Linked DNA regions of Lytechinus pictus. The protein of the gene in region 2 purifies or fractionates together with the protein of the main gene of each other region. This does not show direct contact. Links are inferred from orthologs where the notes say so. Each region holds a gene or a part of one and is shown on either strand. Other genes may lie near its edges. The genes, in order: threonylcarbamoyladenosine tRNA methylthiotransferase-like and cytosolic iron-sulfur assembly component 2B-like.

Region 1 (9,427 bases), on a different chromosome or scaffold from region 2:
AAGAGAGTTTTTGAACTGCTTTGTGTTACTATGTCTTCATTGAGTTATTTGTTACTTGTCTTTCTACCATATTTGTTGCATCAAAGTTTACAAATTTCTTAGCTTTGATATTACATTTACTGATTTAGGTCTTGCTTTAATTAGAAATTTATCAACAGGAAGGGCAGAAACCAACCCCTTGACCACTTTGAAGTAGGATGGAAGTTTCAGGACTTGGCGTCTTGAGCAGTTGAGGCAAGAGTAGGCAGGTTGAGATTGATAGAAATGCATGCAAATGGAGAAAAACCAAATGAGGGAGTCTCACTCTCACGAGTCTCATGAGTCAAAAAAAAAAAAAATGACTGTCTTCGAGAGTTGGCAGCCCTACCTGGCTAAAATTAACCCAGGACTCGTCCGTGTAACATTAGGCAGAGGGCACTCTCCAAAATGGGGTAGAATGGGGTCGCAATAGCACCCAAAAAAAAACAAGGGGAACAAATAAATCATGCACTTACCTCAATTATAATATGGATGAAGGTCTATCATGACACAAAATCTTGACATTGAGGCACAAACTGGACCCTCAAAAAAAGAGGAAAAGTTCTGTCTCTTCGTTCTCCTTCTTTCATGCAGGCTCGCACTAACACACTACCGTCGGTGAATGGGGATGATCGTAAAATATCAGAAATTGTTGAATAAATCCCCAGAAACGACGGTTATTCCTGTCTAGGAAAGAAGTAAAACTTTGTGTAAAGTAAGAATATTAATTTTAATTGTTTTTAAAGATCGTGATGTTGCATAAATTTTATATTTTCCTCCCATAAAATCCCACCTTTGTCACTCGGAGTATCAGATCGAGTTTACGGCCTCGAATTTCGGATAGGTGGAGCGTAGTGTAGTGGTTGTGAAGTGGAGTCTGCACGAACTTCGCTCGAGGTAGATAGATCGATACCGTCACCGAGAACGCGACATGGACTCTAACTTTTCCTTTTATTTTTGAGGGTTCAGTTTGTGCCTCTATGTCAGGATTTTGTGTCAAGATAGACCTGAGGTAAGTACATAATTAATTTTTTCACCTTCTATTTGGAGTGCTATTGCGACCCCATTCTAACCCATTTTGGAGAATACCCATGTCTGCCTCGTATTACACGGACGAGTCCCGGGCTCCGCGGGCCGTAACCCAGGGAGCTCCCTGGGTTAGGTACCATGCTTACGGTACCGTTGCCCCGGGGACCTCGACACAACGTCTTTAAATAAAGCTAAATAAATGACAGTAGTTGCAGTAAAATACTGATTTTGTGAGAAAGTCTGTAAAACCAAGGTTCAGTATTACTATATCATCGTGGATCTAGATCTGGTACAGTTACATAAACTGAACTTTGTGAAATCATAATATCTAAGCTAAACAAGTGGAACGCCTCTGGCAGTCTCGCCTGCATTACGCGATTTAATATAGCAGCAGTGCTAACTTTGAAAACTACTATAAAATAATCATTCACAAAAACACCATTCATATAATGACATAATACCACATTCATTGACCATAGATGACATTTGAACGGTGACTTAAGACTTGTCAACTACACCCATGTCCACATTTCATTCACTCTATCCATAAACTTTCAAAGTTAATGATTGGCAATTCAACAATTACCCCAACATGGCCTAAGTTTATTGACCTTAACTGACCTTTGACCTTGGTTTTGTGACCTGAAACTCACAGGGGATGTTCAGTGATACTTGATTAATCTTATATCCCAAGTTTTATGAAATAGATCCATAAACTTCATAGTTAGGATGGTAATTCAACAAATACCCCCAACACGGCCAAAGTTCATTGACCTTAACTGACCTTTGACCATGGTCATGTGACCTGAAACTCGTACAGGATGTTCAGTGATACTCGATTACTCTTATGTCCAAGTTTTATGAACTAGATCCATAAACCTTCAGAGTTAGGATGGTAATTTAACAAAGACCCCCAACACAGCCAAAGTTCATTCACCTTAAATGACCATTGACCATGGTCATGTGACCTGAAACTTGCACAGGATATTCAGTGGTACTTGATTAACCTAATGTCCAAGTTTCATGGACTAGGTCCATATACTTTTTCTAAGTTATGATGTCATTTCAAAAACTTAACCTTCGGTTAAGAATAGATTTTGAAAATAATTCTCCCAACATACATGGTCTAAGTTCATTGACCCTAAATGACCTTTGACCTTAGTCATGTGACCTGAAACTCAGGCAGGATGTTTAGTAATAGTAGGATGGGGGGTCGGGTGTCCGGACACTTTAATATTTTGAAGCCTTCTTTTTTGTATTTGGATTACACTAAAAATATGAATTCAATACTTGTAATCATCTTCTATTTTGTTCTTTATAATATTTCCTAACATTTTGTACTAAAAATTTATGAAACTTCGCTTGTAAATTTTTCCAAATGACTTTCTAAAATTGATCGTCCGGACACACAACCTGTCCGGACACACAACAACTGGGTATACTTCATACCTTATGTCCAAGTTTCATGAACTAGGTCCATATACTTTCTAAGTTATGATATCATTTCAAAAACTTAACCTTAGTTAGGTTAAGATTTGATGTTGACGCCGCCGTCGGAAAAGCGGCGCCTATAACTCATTATAAGGCTATAGTCTCGCTCTGCTATGGCTATGCCACTCCTAGTAACAATGAGGTCCAAACATTACATGTATGGACCTCATAGGCGACATCACTAGTATTTTTGGTTAGAAATCTCTGAGAACAGGATATTTCTATATTATATCACAAGTACAAGCTATATTCCTTTCTCTTATTTAAATTATAATTTTATAGTGTAAATGCATCGTTAGCAACAACAAAAAATGAAAGAAATGAAGGGGAACTTACATTTTCACGGCTTTTTCCTGATTTTCTGGGCAGTTGCTCTTCACTTCTGACTCGCGATCGAAGCTGATATGAAGATCACGTGATTCGCGTTCTCGTCAGCTGATCGGTTGATTATTCTTTTTGTCAGACGTTAATAATATATATTTTATAATGCTAGCATTCATCGCTAATTTAGGTGAAAGAGATTGAAGTTAAACAGGGCCAGGTCGGAATCATAATTATTTTGGAAGAGTGTATTTATACACTCGATCTCATACCTGACGTAGACGGTACTATTCAACAAATGCACAATCTTCAATATAAAAAATAAAACAGAAAGAACGCCTTGAACACAGGCCAAAATGCCTAACGATTTCTCCGCGGCATTAACAACTATCGTAAAGGGCGCTCCATTTATTAATAAAGATGGACGTATAGCCGTCTATGGCGACAAAATTTGCCGCAAATATTTACGAAGAATTGTGAGAAATGGTCTGAAAATGCAACAAAAGAACCGGTGAGTACCGATTAAACATTATCAATTTATTTAATAGAACATACCGTATTTTATGACTAGAGTTTAACAATTTCTAGATAATATTGCTTAGTTCTAAGCTAGGGCGGCCCAAATGCGCGTGAGTGGAGTCCCAGTTTATTAACGCGGGTAAGTATTGGGGTGTCGCCTAGAGTGGGCTATGCAGGCGAGACAAAAACGTTCACACTGAATATCACCAACACAGATAGGCACACATGGGACAGTGTATTATTATTGCTGGAATAAAGACCCGACGCCGACGGAAGTGACAGAATCCGCGCATATTTCTCAGCAATTAATTACACAATTTCTTCCAGAATCCTTTGGCACATATTTTTTATTCATACAAACAGACACTTTGGTGATCATTATATTAAGGTAATCCTGGGTTTTAGGGGCGTAAAATATCTGTATACATTACCGGCCTCTAACTTCAGCAAATCATCCCAGCATAGTATGGACGGCTAAAAGGGCAAATATTCAAATATGATTGAGCTGTTTTCATCATTTTTGTCTCGCATGTTATAGCTGGATCTTTTCTTGAAACTTTGGCATTAGGGCAATCAAGTTTCACTGACCGAGTAGAAGGTCACATGATCAAGGTCAAAGGTCATTTAGGGTGAAAATTTTAACAAATAATTGTATTTTCCCCAAGAAATTTCAATGTAAGGGTAATTGAGTTTTACTTTTTAATATCAACTTATTGCTGGTCACCTGAACAAGGTCAAAGGTCATCTTAATTCGAGGGGATTTGGCTTGAAAGGGGGAGGGGGTTCTTCAAAGTACCCTACATTTTAGTGGAAAGGGGATCAAATTGGCCTTTATATATATTGCACCTACTGGGTTTGAGGGGTATAAATTATGTTTTGGCTTAAGGAGGGGGGGGGGGGTACTTCCAAGAACTCTACATTTCAGTGGAGAGGGATCAAATTGGCCTGTATTATATTACCTAATTGTACCTACTGGGTTTTAGGGGCATAAACTATTTTCTGGCTTGAGGGGGGGGGGGGTACTTCCAAGAACCCTACATTTAATTGGAGAGGGGATGAAATTGGCCTATATATATTACCGTATTGTACCTACTGGGTTTTAGGGGCATAAACTATTTTTTGGCTTGAGGGGGGGGGGTACTTCTAAGAACCAAACATTTAATTGGAGAGGGGATAAAATTGGCCTATATATATTCCCGTAATGTACCTACTGGGTTTTAGGGGCATAAACTATTTTTTGGCTTGAGGGGGGGGGGTATACTTCCAAGAACCCTACATTAAATTGGAGAGGGGATGAAATTGGCCTATATATATTACCGTATTGTACCTACTGGGTTTTAGGGGCATAAACTATTTTGGGGATTTGAAGGGGGGGTACTTCCAAGAACCCAACATTTAATTGGAAAGGGGATGAAATTGGCCTATATATATTACCATATTGTACCTACTGGGTTTTAGGGGCATAAACTATTTTTTGGCTTGAGGGGGGGGGGGGTTCTTCCAAGAACGCTACATTTAATTGGAGAGGGGATGAAATTGGCCTATATATATTACCGTATTGTACCTACTGGGTTTTAGGGGCATAAACTATTTTTTGGCTTGAGGGGGGGGGGAAGGTACTTCCAAGAACCCTACATTTGAGTGGAGAGGGGATGAAATTGGCCAATATATATTGCACCTTCTGGGTTTTAGGGGTATAAACTATTTTTTTGCTTGAGGGGGGGGGGTACTTCCAAGAACCAAACATTTAATTCGAGAGGGGATGAAATTGGCCTATATATATATTGCACCTACTGGGTTTTAAGGGTATGAACTATTTTCTGGGCCTGAGGGGGGGGGGGTACTTCCTAGAACCCTACATTTAATTGGAGAGGGAATGAAATTGGCCTATATATATTACCGTATTGTACCTACTGGGTTTTAGGGGCATAAACTATTTTAGGGACTTGAATGGGGGGGGGGGGGGGGTACTTCCAAGAACCCTACATTCAATTGGAGAGGGGATGAAATTGGCCTATATATATTACCGTATTGTACCTACTGGGTTTTAGGGGCATAAACTATTTTTGGCTTGAGGGGGGCCGGGGGTACTTCCAAGAACCAAACATTTAATTGGAGAGGGGATGAAATTGGCCTATATATATTACCGTATTGTACCTACTGGGTTTTAGGGGCATAAACTATTTTTTGGCTTGAGGGGGGGGGGGGGGGGAAGGTACTTCCAAGAACCCTACATTTGAGTGGAGAGGGGATGAAATTGGCCAATATATATTGCACCTTCTGGGTTTTAGGGGTATAAACTATTTTTTTGCTTGAGGGGGGGGGGTACTTCCAAGAACCAAACATTTAATTCGAGAGGGGATGAAATTGGCCTATATATATATTGCACCTACTGGGTTTTAAGGGTATGAACTATTTTCTGGGCCTGAGGGGGGGGGTACTTCCTAGAACCCTACATTTAATTGGAGAGGGAATGAAATTGGCCTATATATATTACCGTATTGTACCTACTGGGTTTTAGGGGCATAAACTATTTTAGGGACTTGAATGGGGGGGGGGGTACTTCCAAGAACCCTACATTCAATTGGAGAGGGGATGAAATTGGCCTATATATATTACCGTATTGTACCTACTGGGTTTTAGGGGCATAAACTATTTTTGGCTTGAGGGGGGCCGGGGGTACTTCCAAGAACCAAACATTTAATTGGAGAGGGGATGAAATTGGCCTATATATATTACCGTATTGTACCTACTGGGTTTTAGGGGCATAAACTATTTTTTGGCTTGAAGGGGGGGGGGGTTCTTCCAAGAACGCTACATTTAATTGGAGAGGGGATGAAATTGGCCTATATATATTACCGTATTGTACCTACTGGGTTTTAGGGGCATAAACTATTTTTTGGCTTGAGGGGGGGGGGGGTACTTCCAAGAACCCTACATTTAATTGGAAAGGGGATGAAATTGGCCTATATATATTACCGTATTGTACCTACTGGGTTTTAGGGGCATAAACTATTTTAGGGATTTGAAGGGGGGGGGGGTACTTCCAAGAACCCAACATTTAATTGGAAAGGGGATGAAATTGGCCTATATATATTACCATATTGTACCTACTGGGTTTTAGGGGCATAAACTATTTTTTGGCTTGAGGGGGGGGGGGGGATTCTTCCAAGAACGCTACATTTAATTGGAGAGGGGATGAAATTGGCCTATATATATTACCGTATTGTACCTACTGGGTTTTAGGGGCATAAACTATTTTTTGGCTTGAGGGGGGAGGTACTTCCAAGAACCCTACATTTGAGTGGAGAGGGGATGAAATTGGCCTATATATATTGCACCTACTGGGTTTTAGGGGTATAAACTATTTTTTGGCTTGAGGGGGGGGGGGTACTTCAAAGAACCAAACATTTAATTCGAGAGGGGATGAAATTGGCCTATATATATTACCGTATTGTACCTACTGGGTTTTAGGGGCATAAACTATTTTTTGGCTTGAGGGGGGGGGGGTACTTCCAAGAACCCAACATTTAATTGGAGAGGAGATAAAATTTCCTATTAAACAGCCTGAAAACATAAATAATACAGCTCTTCTAATGTTTTCTATGTTGATGAATTCATTTATGACAGTAATTTTCCATTTTAACCAATGCCTTAATCAGAATTACTGGCTCAATGCACTAATTAACATCTATGTGCAATATATCAAGTATATATTCCTATGACCGGTGTGTTGGCTCAGTTGGTAGAGCGTCCGTCTCACAACCGGGAGGTCGGGGGTTCAAACCCCGCCCGCGTCAGACCAAAAGACGTTAAAGATGGGAGTTGCTGCTACCCTGTTTGACGTTCAATGATTAAAGGGATAGAACCTCGTCAATCTGGTGCTGCACAGCGGCCGCCGGGCCCATGATCAATTGGGCATAGCAAATTTTCGGACTATTTCATTTCATGTCTATTTCGAACAATAAATTATGGATTTTCATTTTTTTTCATTTGTTCTATGTTAGTTTTATCGAGTGCGCCTGAAAAACATGAAAAATATATCACTAACATATGGTTAGTGGTAATTAAAATACAGGTGCAATACATATATTTCGTTGTCTCTGTATTTATATAGGCGCTGCTTTTCCGACGGCGGCGGCGACGGCAGCGTCGTCAACATTGATATATAAAATAAGCAATGCCAATGTCATCATAACTTAGAAAGTATATGAACCTAGTTCATGAAACTGGGACATAAAAGTAATCAAGTATTACTGAACATCTTGCCTTAGTTTCAGGTCACATGACTAAGATCAATGGTCATTTAGGGCCAATGAACTAAGATCTTGTTGGGGGAATACATATCGAAATCTTAACCAAGGATAAGTTTTTAAAATGTTGTCATAACCTAGAAAGTATATGGACCTAGTTCATTAAACTTAAACATAAAGGTAATCAAGTCATACTGAATACCCTGTCTTAGTTTCAGGTCACATGACCTAGGTCAAAGGTCACTTAGCGTCAATGAACTTTGACCATGCTGGGGGTATTTATGGAATTGTCATAACTTTAAAAGTTTATGGATCCACATGTAGTTAATGAAACTTGGACATAAGTGCAACCAGGGAAGTCCTGGTGCAACCATGTAGGCCGATCCCTGTATATCCTGTGCGCATGTCAGGTCAATTAAATGACCAAGATCAAAGGTAATGTAAGGTCAATGAACTTTGGCCATGTTGGGGGTATTTTTTAACTTGGCATCATATCTTAGAAAGTTTATGGATCTAGTTCATGAAACATAAACATATGGGTAATCAAGGATTGTTTTGCACACATGTTAGGTCACTTGATCATGGTCAAAGGCCATTTTGGATCGATGGACATCATATGAATTCTTCTTACGTGAATATTTTATGCAATAGCTGTTTTCAAAGTCAAAACTGCTGCTATATCAAATCGCGTAATGCAGGCGAGACTGCCAGAGGCGATCCACTTTGATTAGCTCATTATGTCAATCATTAAGCTAATTTTACAACATTAACATTGTTTAAATGAAATACGATATCATAAATGAATTCCTCGTCATAGAAAACTATGAAATAGCTGTATTATTTATGTTTTAGGGCATTTTTAAAATATAAAATGACAAAGGAATATATATTCATATGTAATTATATTGGTAATTATGTTAATTAGCGCAGTATACTGATTGTGCTAATTACACAATAACATTTGTTTAACGGGGAAAATAATGTCACAAAAGAATTCTTCATCAAAGAAAACCATAGGATAGCTGTAATTGTTTATGTTTTCAGGCTTTCTCAATATAAAATGACAAAGGAATATATATATATATATATATATATATATATTGCAGATATATGTTAATTAGCGCATTATGCTAATTATACTAATTACGACAATTACATTGGTAAAAAGGGGGAAAATAATGTCAGAAATTAATTCCTCGTCATAGAAAACCATGGGATAGCTGTATTATTCATGTATTCGGACATTTTCGATATAAAATGACAAAAGAATGTATATATTGCACATATATGGTAATTAGCGCATTATGCTAATTATGCTAATTACGACAATTACATTGGTAAGAAGGGAAAATAATGTCATAAATTAATTCCTCGCCATATAAAACTAGCTTAGGGTACATGTAGCTGTATTAATCATGTTTGCGGACATTCTCGATATGAAATGACAAAGAAATATATATTTTTATATGTATTACACATATACATATATATATATTAATTAGTGCATTATGCTAATTATGTTAATTACAGCAATTTCATTGGTTAAAATTGAAAAATATGGTCATAAATGAATTCCTCGCTATAGAAAAACCCTTAAAGGGATGCATTGTCTACGTATTGGGCATTTTTTGGATAGACATCCACAAATATACATATTGCACTTCAATGCTAATTAGCTCATTATGCTAATTGGGATTATTACGATAATTGCATAACTTAAATATTTAAATTATTGCTTTAAATCGATTCCTCGTCACGGGACCTCTTAGTAAAATTACATTTTTTAAAAAATCTTT
Region 2 (9,522 bases):
CGCAGCCCATACGTGTTCTTCCTTACCTTAAATCTAGAAGGCAATGACCTGATAAGCTTCACTCTAATGGCAAGTCCAATCAATGTAGCCATACTGCAATGAGGAATGGTGGGGGTGAAGGTCACTTTCACTACATTACCAGGATCATCAACCTGACAAAAAAAAACAAATGATCAGAAGAGAACAAACCTGTACATTCTGTACCTTTATTATTTTATGATTGAACATATACACACACATCAAGGCTCATCCAGACATGGTGCAACAATCCTTGGCAACATTCTGACATAGAAATACAAAGCAAGTGGGATATTAGGTGTTGAAAAAAATGTTAAAACAGAAAGATAATTTCTGAGGGAGGGTTGAAAGGTGGTTATTATATGAGGACCAATCATAGTCTATAAAAGAGTAAATGCAAATTACGACAAGTTAGTACAAATAATCTAAATAAACTAGACAAAGTTGTAAATTCATACTGCATGACTCGTAACATAATCATGAAATCACTGTGAGTTGTGACATCATAACACAAGTCAGAAAAGAATTCAGACATACCTCTAATTCAGCTTGCTGCACAACATTCAACTCTTCCAATGTCAGAGGATGCTCAGGGTCATTGATGTTTCTGATCAAATGTTAACATCTAGTCAAGGAAATTTGACATAGATCACAAAACCTGAGTACTCTTCAAGGTTTCTCTAATATACAAATAAACAGGAAATAAACCCAATGGCCCATATTCTGAAGTCAGATTTTATTTAAACTCTGGTCTAAAGTTGTTGTTTAAATACAGATGGCCAATTGTGACATCAATATCTCAAAGTAGAGGTTTAACTCATCAGCCAATTTGACTCTGAAATTGTTCTTGAAGGTCAAGTCCACCTCAGGAAAATGTTGATCTCTAATCTATGCATAGAATTTGTCAAATCGTATGTTTCAGTTTCAAAGATTTATTTTTGATGATATTTGGAATCGTAGAAGGGCTTATAATTATCATCATTTTACAAAGACCACCGTTATGGTTTACTTTCGTAAACTATTAAAATTTGATGTCCCAGGGGTACCCATCTCAACGTCCACCAGTGGCGTACCTGGGATTTTTCACAGGGGGGGCAAAACCGTCCGCCAAAAAATTTGACAAGCAAAAAAAAAAAAAAAAAAAGGTCTTCAATCACAAATGAAGGATTTCGTACCAGAAAAAAATTTGACAAGCAAAAAAAAAAAAAAAAAAAAAAAAAGGGTCTTCAAGCTCGTCAGGGGGGGGGGGGGCAATAAAGGTCTTCAAGCTCGTCAGGGGGGGCAGACTGCCCCCTCTGCCCCCCCCCCCCGTAGGTATGCTAGTGACGTCCACATGTGATTTTCTAGTCATGAAATTATTTATTCATAATTTAATTTTCTCAGCAATTGAATGCTCCAACCTTCATGGTCTAAATATGTATGATGCATAATTTACATGTGCTATTATTTTGAAAAGATGTATTTCCCAATTCATCGAAATATTTGCAATTTTGTCATAATTTTTCTTTTTGAAAAATATGCTATTTTGTGACTAAGGCTACGTCTCGTCTGCTCTTTTTACCGATAGTAGTGTGATGTGTTGTGATTGTTTCAATGTCGAACCGGGGCCCATGGATGTGTTGGACTGGCACCGTGCTCGAGGCATTTCCCCCCTCGGCACCAGGTAAAGTTTTCAGTGCAGCTGCCCTTGCAGGGTATCATATTGTTCTGGGTTAGTATTAGGTCTTTGTGTAATTTTTGCTTTGTATATTATTTAATGCCATTATTTTTGTAATTATTTATTATATGTTATATATTGTTCTTTGTATACCAACAGCCGGAATATGATTTTTGTGCCAATGTAATTTTTATTTTGAGCATGACAATAAATTTTGAATATCTGATCTGAATATCTGATATCAAGGTATTCTAGTTAGGAAGCCTTTCGAGAAACAGGTTTAGTAAGATTGGAACTATCTCCGTGGTTGGTGGATAAAGATATGACTAACTTGTCCAGGTGTTGAGAAACAGGCCCCAGGTGAATACAAAAATTATTCCCTGGTTACTAATGAAAAATAAATTGCAACTGTATGGAAATTAGTAATTTTGGTCACAAAAGTGAAAATTTAATGATTTTTTAAATTGTGTGCTGTGTACAGCATTGGCATACCATAGTTCTACCTGTAGATTCCCCACAGGCAGGATGGTTGCAGTGAACAAGTGATTTATGGTAAAAAGTTCGGTGAATTACACGAGAATAATGTGTTTGATATGATTGAATTCATGAAGTGTTTGGTAATACGATCCACAACCATATATGTCTAAATATTAATAAAACATCTTCTTCTTCTTTAAAGGACATGTCCACCCCAACAAAAACTTGATTTGAATAAAAAGAGAAAAATTTAACAAGCATAACACTGAAAATTTCATCAAAATTGGATGTCACGGTAAAATAAGAAAGTTATGGCATTTTAAAGTTTTGCTTCATTTTACAAAACAGTTATATGCACATCTCCGTCGGTATGCAAATGAGGAACTGATGACATCACTCACTATTTCTTTTGTATTTTATTATATGAAATATTTTTATTTTCTCGTCATTGTCATGTGAAATTAAGTTTCATTCCTCCCTGAACACGTGGAATTCCATTATTTTAACATTTTGTGCTTCAGGCAAGGTCCTAATCGTCAAATTCGTAAAAATTGAAATATTGTATAATTCAAACAATAAAAAACAAAAGAAATAGTGAGTGACAACATCGACTCTCTCATTTGGATGTAACTGGCTCGTTCATATAGGCCTAGGCCTAACTATTTTGTAAACATGGTAAAAAATAAGCAAAACTTTGAAATGTCATAACTTTCTTATTTTACATCCGATTTTGATGAAATTTTCAGCATTGTGCTTGTCTGATTTTCTCTATTGATTCAAATCAACATTTTTCTGAGGTGGACTTGACCTTTAAAGTTTAAATTCAAGACTAGATGGATGCCCATCATCAGTAGAGGCGCACAGCCAATATTGGAGACTGTCTCCAATGTGGGAGATTATCTCCAATAATATCAGAGACTTTTGTAAAGAATTTGGGTATCCAATTTCAGGGCAGCCAATTTCAGAGACAGTCTCCAGTTTTGGAGTCCAATTTCCTTTGTTTACATTTGCTGCAAAAGGATTAACTTGGCGGCAAATAAAAATGTGATAAGCAGATTCCTCATGAAAAATTACCCCTTTTCACCATCTACTTTAAAAATTCACCGTCTACTTTTGTTTTGATAAGGATATTTGTTGTCAATCACACACAAAACAAATGGGCTTCTGACCTCAGTGAGACAACATTTTGGGTGGAAAAAATTATGCTTTTGTTGTTGTTGTTTCTTTTGTCCTTTGCAAAGCAAGTCTCCAATGTGGGAGATTGTCTCTCTAGTAATAGAGTCTCCCATATTGGCCTAACCCAGAGAGCTCCCGCCCGCGCGGACGGGAGCTCTCTGGGTTAATATTGGCCGTGCGCCACGCCTCTACTGATCATAATATTATTGAAATAATTAAAGGATATCAAACACTTCTCTTGTGTCGATGGCATCGTCGATATCATCATCTTCTTCGGCTGGTAGAATGTGTCTTTTATCAAGCTTTCCATGAATCGTGGGGTTGACATTATCCAGTTGTTCACGCCCCGACATCTTAAGGTTTGAAGAAGGAACGACACCTCGACGACCCACGTACCCGAATATTCGCCGTCCGGCCCGGTATGCACGGCCGGTGGTGCGGTAGTACGTCAGGCCGGTACGTACGCGGCCGGTACAGAGCAAAGACCTTATAATATATTACTAGACCGAAAGCTGCGTGCGCGTTCAGCACAAAACAAATGAGATTAGGCTCCGCCTACCGCGATCATTTGAAGACAAAAATAAGCCCTCATTGACATTCATGAGCATGAAGATATTCATAATCCGGCCTTTTCATTGGCTAAGAGCGTCATTAATACGCGATTTCCCCGATTCCTTGTCATCGATACTAGTGGTATCGTGTTACAGAAATAATTATTCATTTGACCTCATTACGTCATCTAATTTATTCATTCTGAAACTTTTCTTTCCACACACAAAATGGACCTACGAACACTCCGGTGAGTACGTATAAATTGATATAACCACATGAATTCAGTGGACTATTTACACATTTCACACTGTATTTTGTGATCTTAGGTTATTTCTTTAACAAATTAGAGAGTTTGCTATCATTCTTCTGTTAAAGGAAAGCAGAATTTGGTCTTTGAAATTGAAGTTAGATTGTCATCGTCGCACAGTGCAGCCAGTATGTTGCTTGCAGTGTATTTTGTACGGGCTCCTAGCCGGCTGGGAATCGAGAGATAATCGGGCTGGTTTGGTTCACCTCCAACAAGGACCAACCCACGATTGATTAAAACAAGAAGAATGAGGCTTCTTTTTGTACACTGTAACGTTAGATCTAGAGGGAGATCTGCATCTGTCTTCAGTAGATCGAGACTCAGTCAGGAATAAACTGTGAAGCGGAGTGTGGATGAAGATACGCCTGTCATTGACATTGTGTCAGTCCTCACTTTCAGATATCAAATTTATTTTGCATAACTTCAGGCTTCTGCATTTAGCCCCCACCATTTTAACTCTTATTGTTATTTAACCCAGAGAGCTCCCGCCCGCGCAGCGGGCGGGAGCCCAGAAGCTTACCGTGTATTTTACCATTGTCACCGGACTAGGGTGATTTATGGTCTAAATATTTCTCCAAATGAATTGTGAAAACAGAAAGTATACAATTACCACGATTATATGGATGAAGGTCTAACGAGTGGCAGATTCCTGACATCTGGGCACAGTCTGGAACCTCAAAAAAACGAAAAGTTCTCTCCTTCTACCCCGTCTCGATCGGCCATTTTTGTTAAAAATCGTAACAAAATGGCCGATCGAGACTGGGTAGAAGGAGAGAACTTTTCGTTTTTTTGAGGTACCAGACTGTGCCCAGATGTCAGGAATCTGTCACTCGTTAGACCTTCATCCATATAATCGTGGTAATTGTATACTTTCCGTTTTCACAATTCATTTGGAGAAATATTTAGACCATAAATCACCCTAGTCCGGTGACAATGGTAAAATACACGGTAAGCTTCTGGGCTCCCGCCCGCTGCGCGGGCGGGAGCTCTCTGGGTTAATTGTTATTCATAAATTTATAGACTCGGTCTTAGAAATAACATGCTGCTCTGCATGTTTGTCTTATTATCAATAGATCTATGACCTAGATCTTCTTAATCCTAGGCCCTACTTACTTCATGTTTATACTTAGATCTAGGCTACTTTACTTTTATTTATTCATCGATGCTATCATTTTATCAAGAGCTAGGCCTACCTAATTAAAATCTAGTCTAACTTATACTTTCCCAACCCTCGATACTTGCCCCCAGGGCTTATGATCTAGGTCTGTAATTTAGGCCTAGATCTAGGTCTGGGCCTAAACGACTCCATTTACATGTACGAGTATGACTGTCAGTGGACCAAGGAGTCGGACTAGATCTAGATCTACTCTCGGTCAATAATGGCAATGAAGTCTTAGCCAGGAATAAAAGTCAAAGTCAGACATCAAAAATTTCTAAACCGATATAGGGTTTAGAACCGAAGCTTTACTTTCTAGGTCTAGATAGATCGAGAGTCCATCGTTAGTCTAGATCTAGACCTAATTTAGATACATGAATGCTGTCGCACAGCATTGAGTCTCGTTGGACTAGATCTATACTTTCTTACAAATAGATCTAGACCTAGTGCATGAGATTATGAAATTATGTTAAAGTCTAATGAAATAAGATTCGGAAATAAAAAGATCCAGATTTTTTTTTTTGGGGGGGGGGGGCAGACATGTGAAAAAATTTAGAGAAACCTAAAATTCAGAAAGCGAGGGCCAGAAGCGACCAATATTACCTAGGGCCGTTTTGTGCATTTTCTAAAGTAAAATTGAAGGATGTCATGCAATTCTCTTTTTGATGAAGGTTTTCACATTTCTGATTTCAGCTCTTACCCAAACCCCTCCCCCTATACATACGGCCATGAAAAAGATCATTTCTTATTATTGTTCTCTCTCTTTCACAAACAGGTTGAGTTTGAAGAACAAGAAAAACAGTAGAGGTCTACCTATATGGTTCAAGATGATGATCATAAGTGCATGCATCATTTTGCAGATTCTCATCCAGGTATAAAACTTAAACTAACCCATACAAAATTACAGATACATTGCATATGCATTGAATGTTAACCATGTTTACATTAAATAAAAATAATCTGAGCTACAAAGAGGTAGGATCTGTAATGAATATACACTTCTTAATATACAGGCTCTCGAGTCTAAAATAGAACCAATGCCAAAAGTTATGTACCTTGGACAAATTTATAAAATAAGGTCATGTCCTTGATCTACTAGTAATTAAATGGCCTTTTTATTTCCTATTTGTTTATAAACAAAGTGTAGGGATTGATTTTGTACTTATATTTCTTTCCACTCTTATCCAGGAATCATCCCCTTTTTCTAATAGAACATCCCTCATTTATATTCACCCTTTTCATCCTAACTTCCTATTCTTCATGTATAGCTCTCTCTTACACATTAACTGCTGTACACTCTGTACACAAGGTTGTTTGGTATTAATTCACTCCACCATCCTTCATACAGCTTTCTTCACTCCTCTCTCTCTCTCTCACTCTCCTTCTGATTGGTTATAATGTTAAGTTGATGCACTCAAGCTTAAATAATAATTTGCATATAGTTTGAATGGTCAATATATATCCTTTGTTTGTATATTTGAATATTCAGTTATACTTTGTTATATTGATTTACATTTATATGAATATTGATGTGCCTTAAGTAATTTGCATGGAATGTTACAAAGAATGCAACAAGGCTTTGAGTCATTAAAATCTGGGAGTTGGCCAGTAAGTTATCAACCTGACAACATGTCTGCTGGGCTGCCTCTGTGTTAAGAGTACTAGAAATGAGATATTGTCAGAACCCCGTACTACACAAAGCAATATTTATTTTTCATATTTTACAAAATTCATTTCATGCATTCTTTAGTGTGATATTCATATTTCATATTTGTAGATTTACGATTTTTTTTAAATCTTGTTATTTTACATTTTGTCCAATAGGATGATGCAGTTTTACAATTTCCATGGAGGTGATTGATGATGATAAACAATTGGTGAAGTAGGCCTAATAGAACAGTGATAGGACCACAAAGAGAAATACAACCTACAGCAGTTATATGAGTGAGTTAATAAGTGATTATTTTTAATAATGGGGGGTTTTCACAATATTTTTAGGCAACAAATAGACCTGCCTTTGAAAAAAACATTTCAATTCTGTTTTTAGGTTATAGATAGGTGTCGTTTTTATTCGCAGATCAAAATATTCTGTGCAACAAAACATCATCTTTAATTCTGACTATTATATATAATTTATATGTTAATTCATATATTCATATTTATGGGAAATCTCTGACATTTTTTTTATATAGTACATGTAGTTATAATGGAGAGTGGTATGCAAACTGCATAGAACAGGTTTAAGTGATATGCTTTGTAGAAGTACAAGTTTATAATTAGTAGAAGTAAGATTTCCTATGTTATGTGATGAAGAAATTTATATACCGGTATGTATAGTCTTACTTTTCTTCAAACATTTATGTTTTACAAATCATGACAATTTTAATTTAAATTCATTGATTTTCTTTCTCTATTTTTTCAATCTGCAGGACTGGTGTAACAGATGTTTTCATTCAAGAAACCCAACAAATTGAAGAGTGACTTAGCTTAGGAAGCACTTGATAAAGATGGAAAAGGTTTTTTTTTTTAATTATCATCACAACCCCAAATTCATGAAGTATGAAATTTCCTGTCGATTTTCATTAAAACTGGTTGCAAAAGGAAAAGCTATAAACATACAAATAGGAGCGGCGAAGTGAAGTTGAAAGTGGGGGGGGGCACAGGGAAAATGCTGTATTATGTGAAATTTTAAAGAAGTTGCGAGAGAGCAAAATTTTGACATTTTTAAAAAGAAAATCCAATTTTGTGATAGATTTCGACAAAATATTCAGAATGATATATTTCACCCTTTTTTTTGGGGGGGGGGGCAAGAGTCCTTCAAGCCCCCCCCCCCTCCATCTGTAGTGTACGAAACTGCTTATCTACCCCCACTCACATGAATTATTAAACTTAATGCACAAAGGATTTCCTTATTGTTTTCTTGTTTCAAAGGGCACTCGTCATTCTTTAGGAGCACTTTTCTTGGATAAAAGGGGGCAGTTATTAGAGAAAGGGCACTTACAAGAAGGCGAGGGGGTACTTTTTAACACTTAAAACGGGCCCTCAGATGAAAGGGCACAGAACACGTTCGGGGGGCATTTTTGGTAAAAATTTGCATACAAGGAAGAGCACTTGGTAACACCTAAAACAGGTTCTCGTCAGGTGAAAGGGACACAGTACACGTTCGTGAGGGGGCATTTTTCTTACATAAAATTAAAGGCACTTTTCAGTGCTTTAAAAAGTAGGGGGAACTGTGCCCCCCAGGATCGCTGCCCCTGCATACAAAAAACATTTTTCGTTCGATTCAAAGTATTAACATACGCTTAAGAAAAAAAGTAAGGCTAAATCCTCTGATAATGTGATATTTTTTTTGGCTATTAATAAAATTCACAACTAACCATAAAATGCCTTCATGTCTTTCATTTGTATAGTATTTGTACAGAGCTAAAATGAAAGGGATTTGGAATTGGCAAAATTCAAATGAGATGGAGATCGAGAGAGAGAAAGAGTGATGAGAAGGGGGTTGAAAAGAGATGAGAAAGAAATGGAGGGGCACATATGAAGAGATAATTTAGAGGGGGGGTAAGAGAGCACGAATGGTGGGAAGTAGGAACAAAGGGGTGGAAGAGAAATAAGACGAGATTTATGGAAACCAGGAGACAGATAACAAGTGGGAAAAGAAGAAGGAAATATATGTAGGAGAAAGGCGGCACCAAAATAACGTGAGTGGGAAAATTATTAAATGGAAAAACAGAGCAAGAAATGCTGGAGAATAGAGGGGACAGGAAACGTATTAAACATGATAAACTGGGGCACGTTTCATCATGAGTTACAAGTATGGTAATAATGATTGGTTATATATAGCCGTTACCATCGTAGTTAACTACGATGGTAACTGCTATAACCAATCATAATCTAGGTTACCACGGTAATCACAATAACAGCGATGATTAAATAGCTGTAATTCATTATGAAACGGACGCCAAATGAAGAAAACAGGCACGGGGATCCATGAGGGCCGGGGCCGGCCCCTTACGTATTATACCTTGAACAAAAGATTTTTTTTTTGCTTCTCGAAATTTGTAACAAGAAATGTACTCTATTAGTGGTGACAGTTATTTTTTTTAAGTAACCATACTCAACCAGTAAAAATTACCATCAAATTGTAATAACCATGTTCTGCCCCCACCCGCCCCCCCC

The links.
Region 1: the proteins of cytosolic iron-sulfur assembly component 2B-like (region 2) and threonylcarbamoyladenosine tRNA methylthiotransferase-like purify together in Homo sapiens (affinity purification with mass spectrometry; 3 studies listed by BioGRID and IntAct, with this or other methods). This does not show direct contact. The link is inferred for Lytechinus pictus from reciprocal best matches to the Homo sapiens genes CIAO2B and CDKAL1.

Annotation. Positions count from the first base shown.
Region 1 is NC_087251.1:22,240,864-22,250,290, forward strand, and holds the start of threonylcarbamoyladenosine tRNA methylthiotransferase-like, read right to left. Parts: upstream 3,988-9,427; 5' UTR 3,810-3,987; intron 3,679-3,809; exon of another isoform or gene 3,415-3,678; intron 2,958-3,414; exon of another isoform or gene 2,875-2,957; intron 1,999-2,874; exon of another isoform or gene 1,832-1,998; intron 707-1,831; exon of another isoform or gene 495-706; intron 1-494. UniProt on the Homo sapiens protein: Catalyzes the methylthiolation of N6-threonylcarbamoyladenosine (t(6)A), leading to the formation of 2-methylthio-N6-threonylcarbamoyladenosine (ms(2)t(6)A) at position 37 in tRNAs that read codons beginning with adenine.
Region 2 is NC_087246.1:39,215,733-39,225,254, reverse strand, and holds the start of cytosolic iron-sulfur assembly component 2B-like, read right to left. Parts: upstream 3,761-9,522; 5' UTR 3,682-3,760; coding exon 3,555-3,681; intron 636-3,554; coding exon 556-635; intron 153-555; coding exon 27-152; intron 1-26.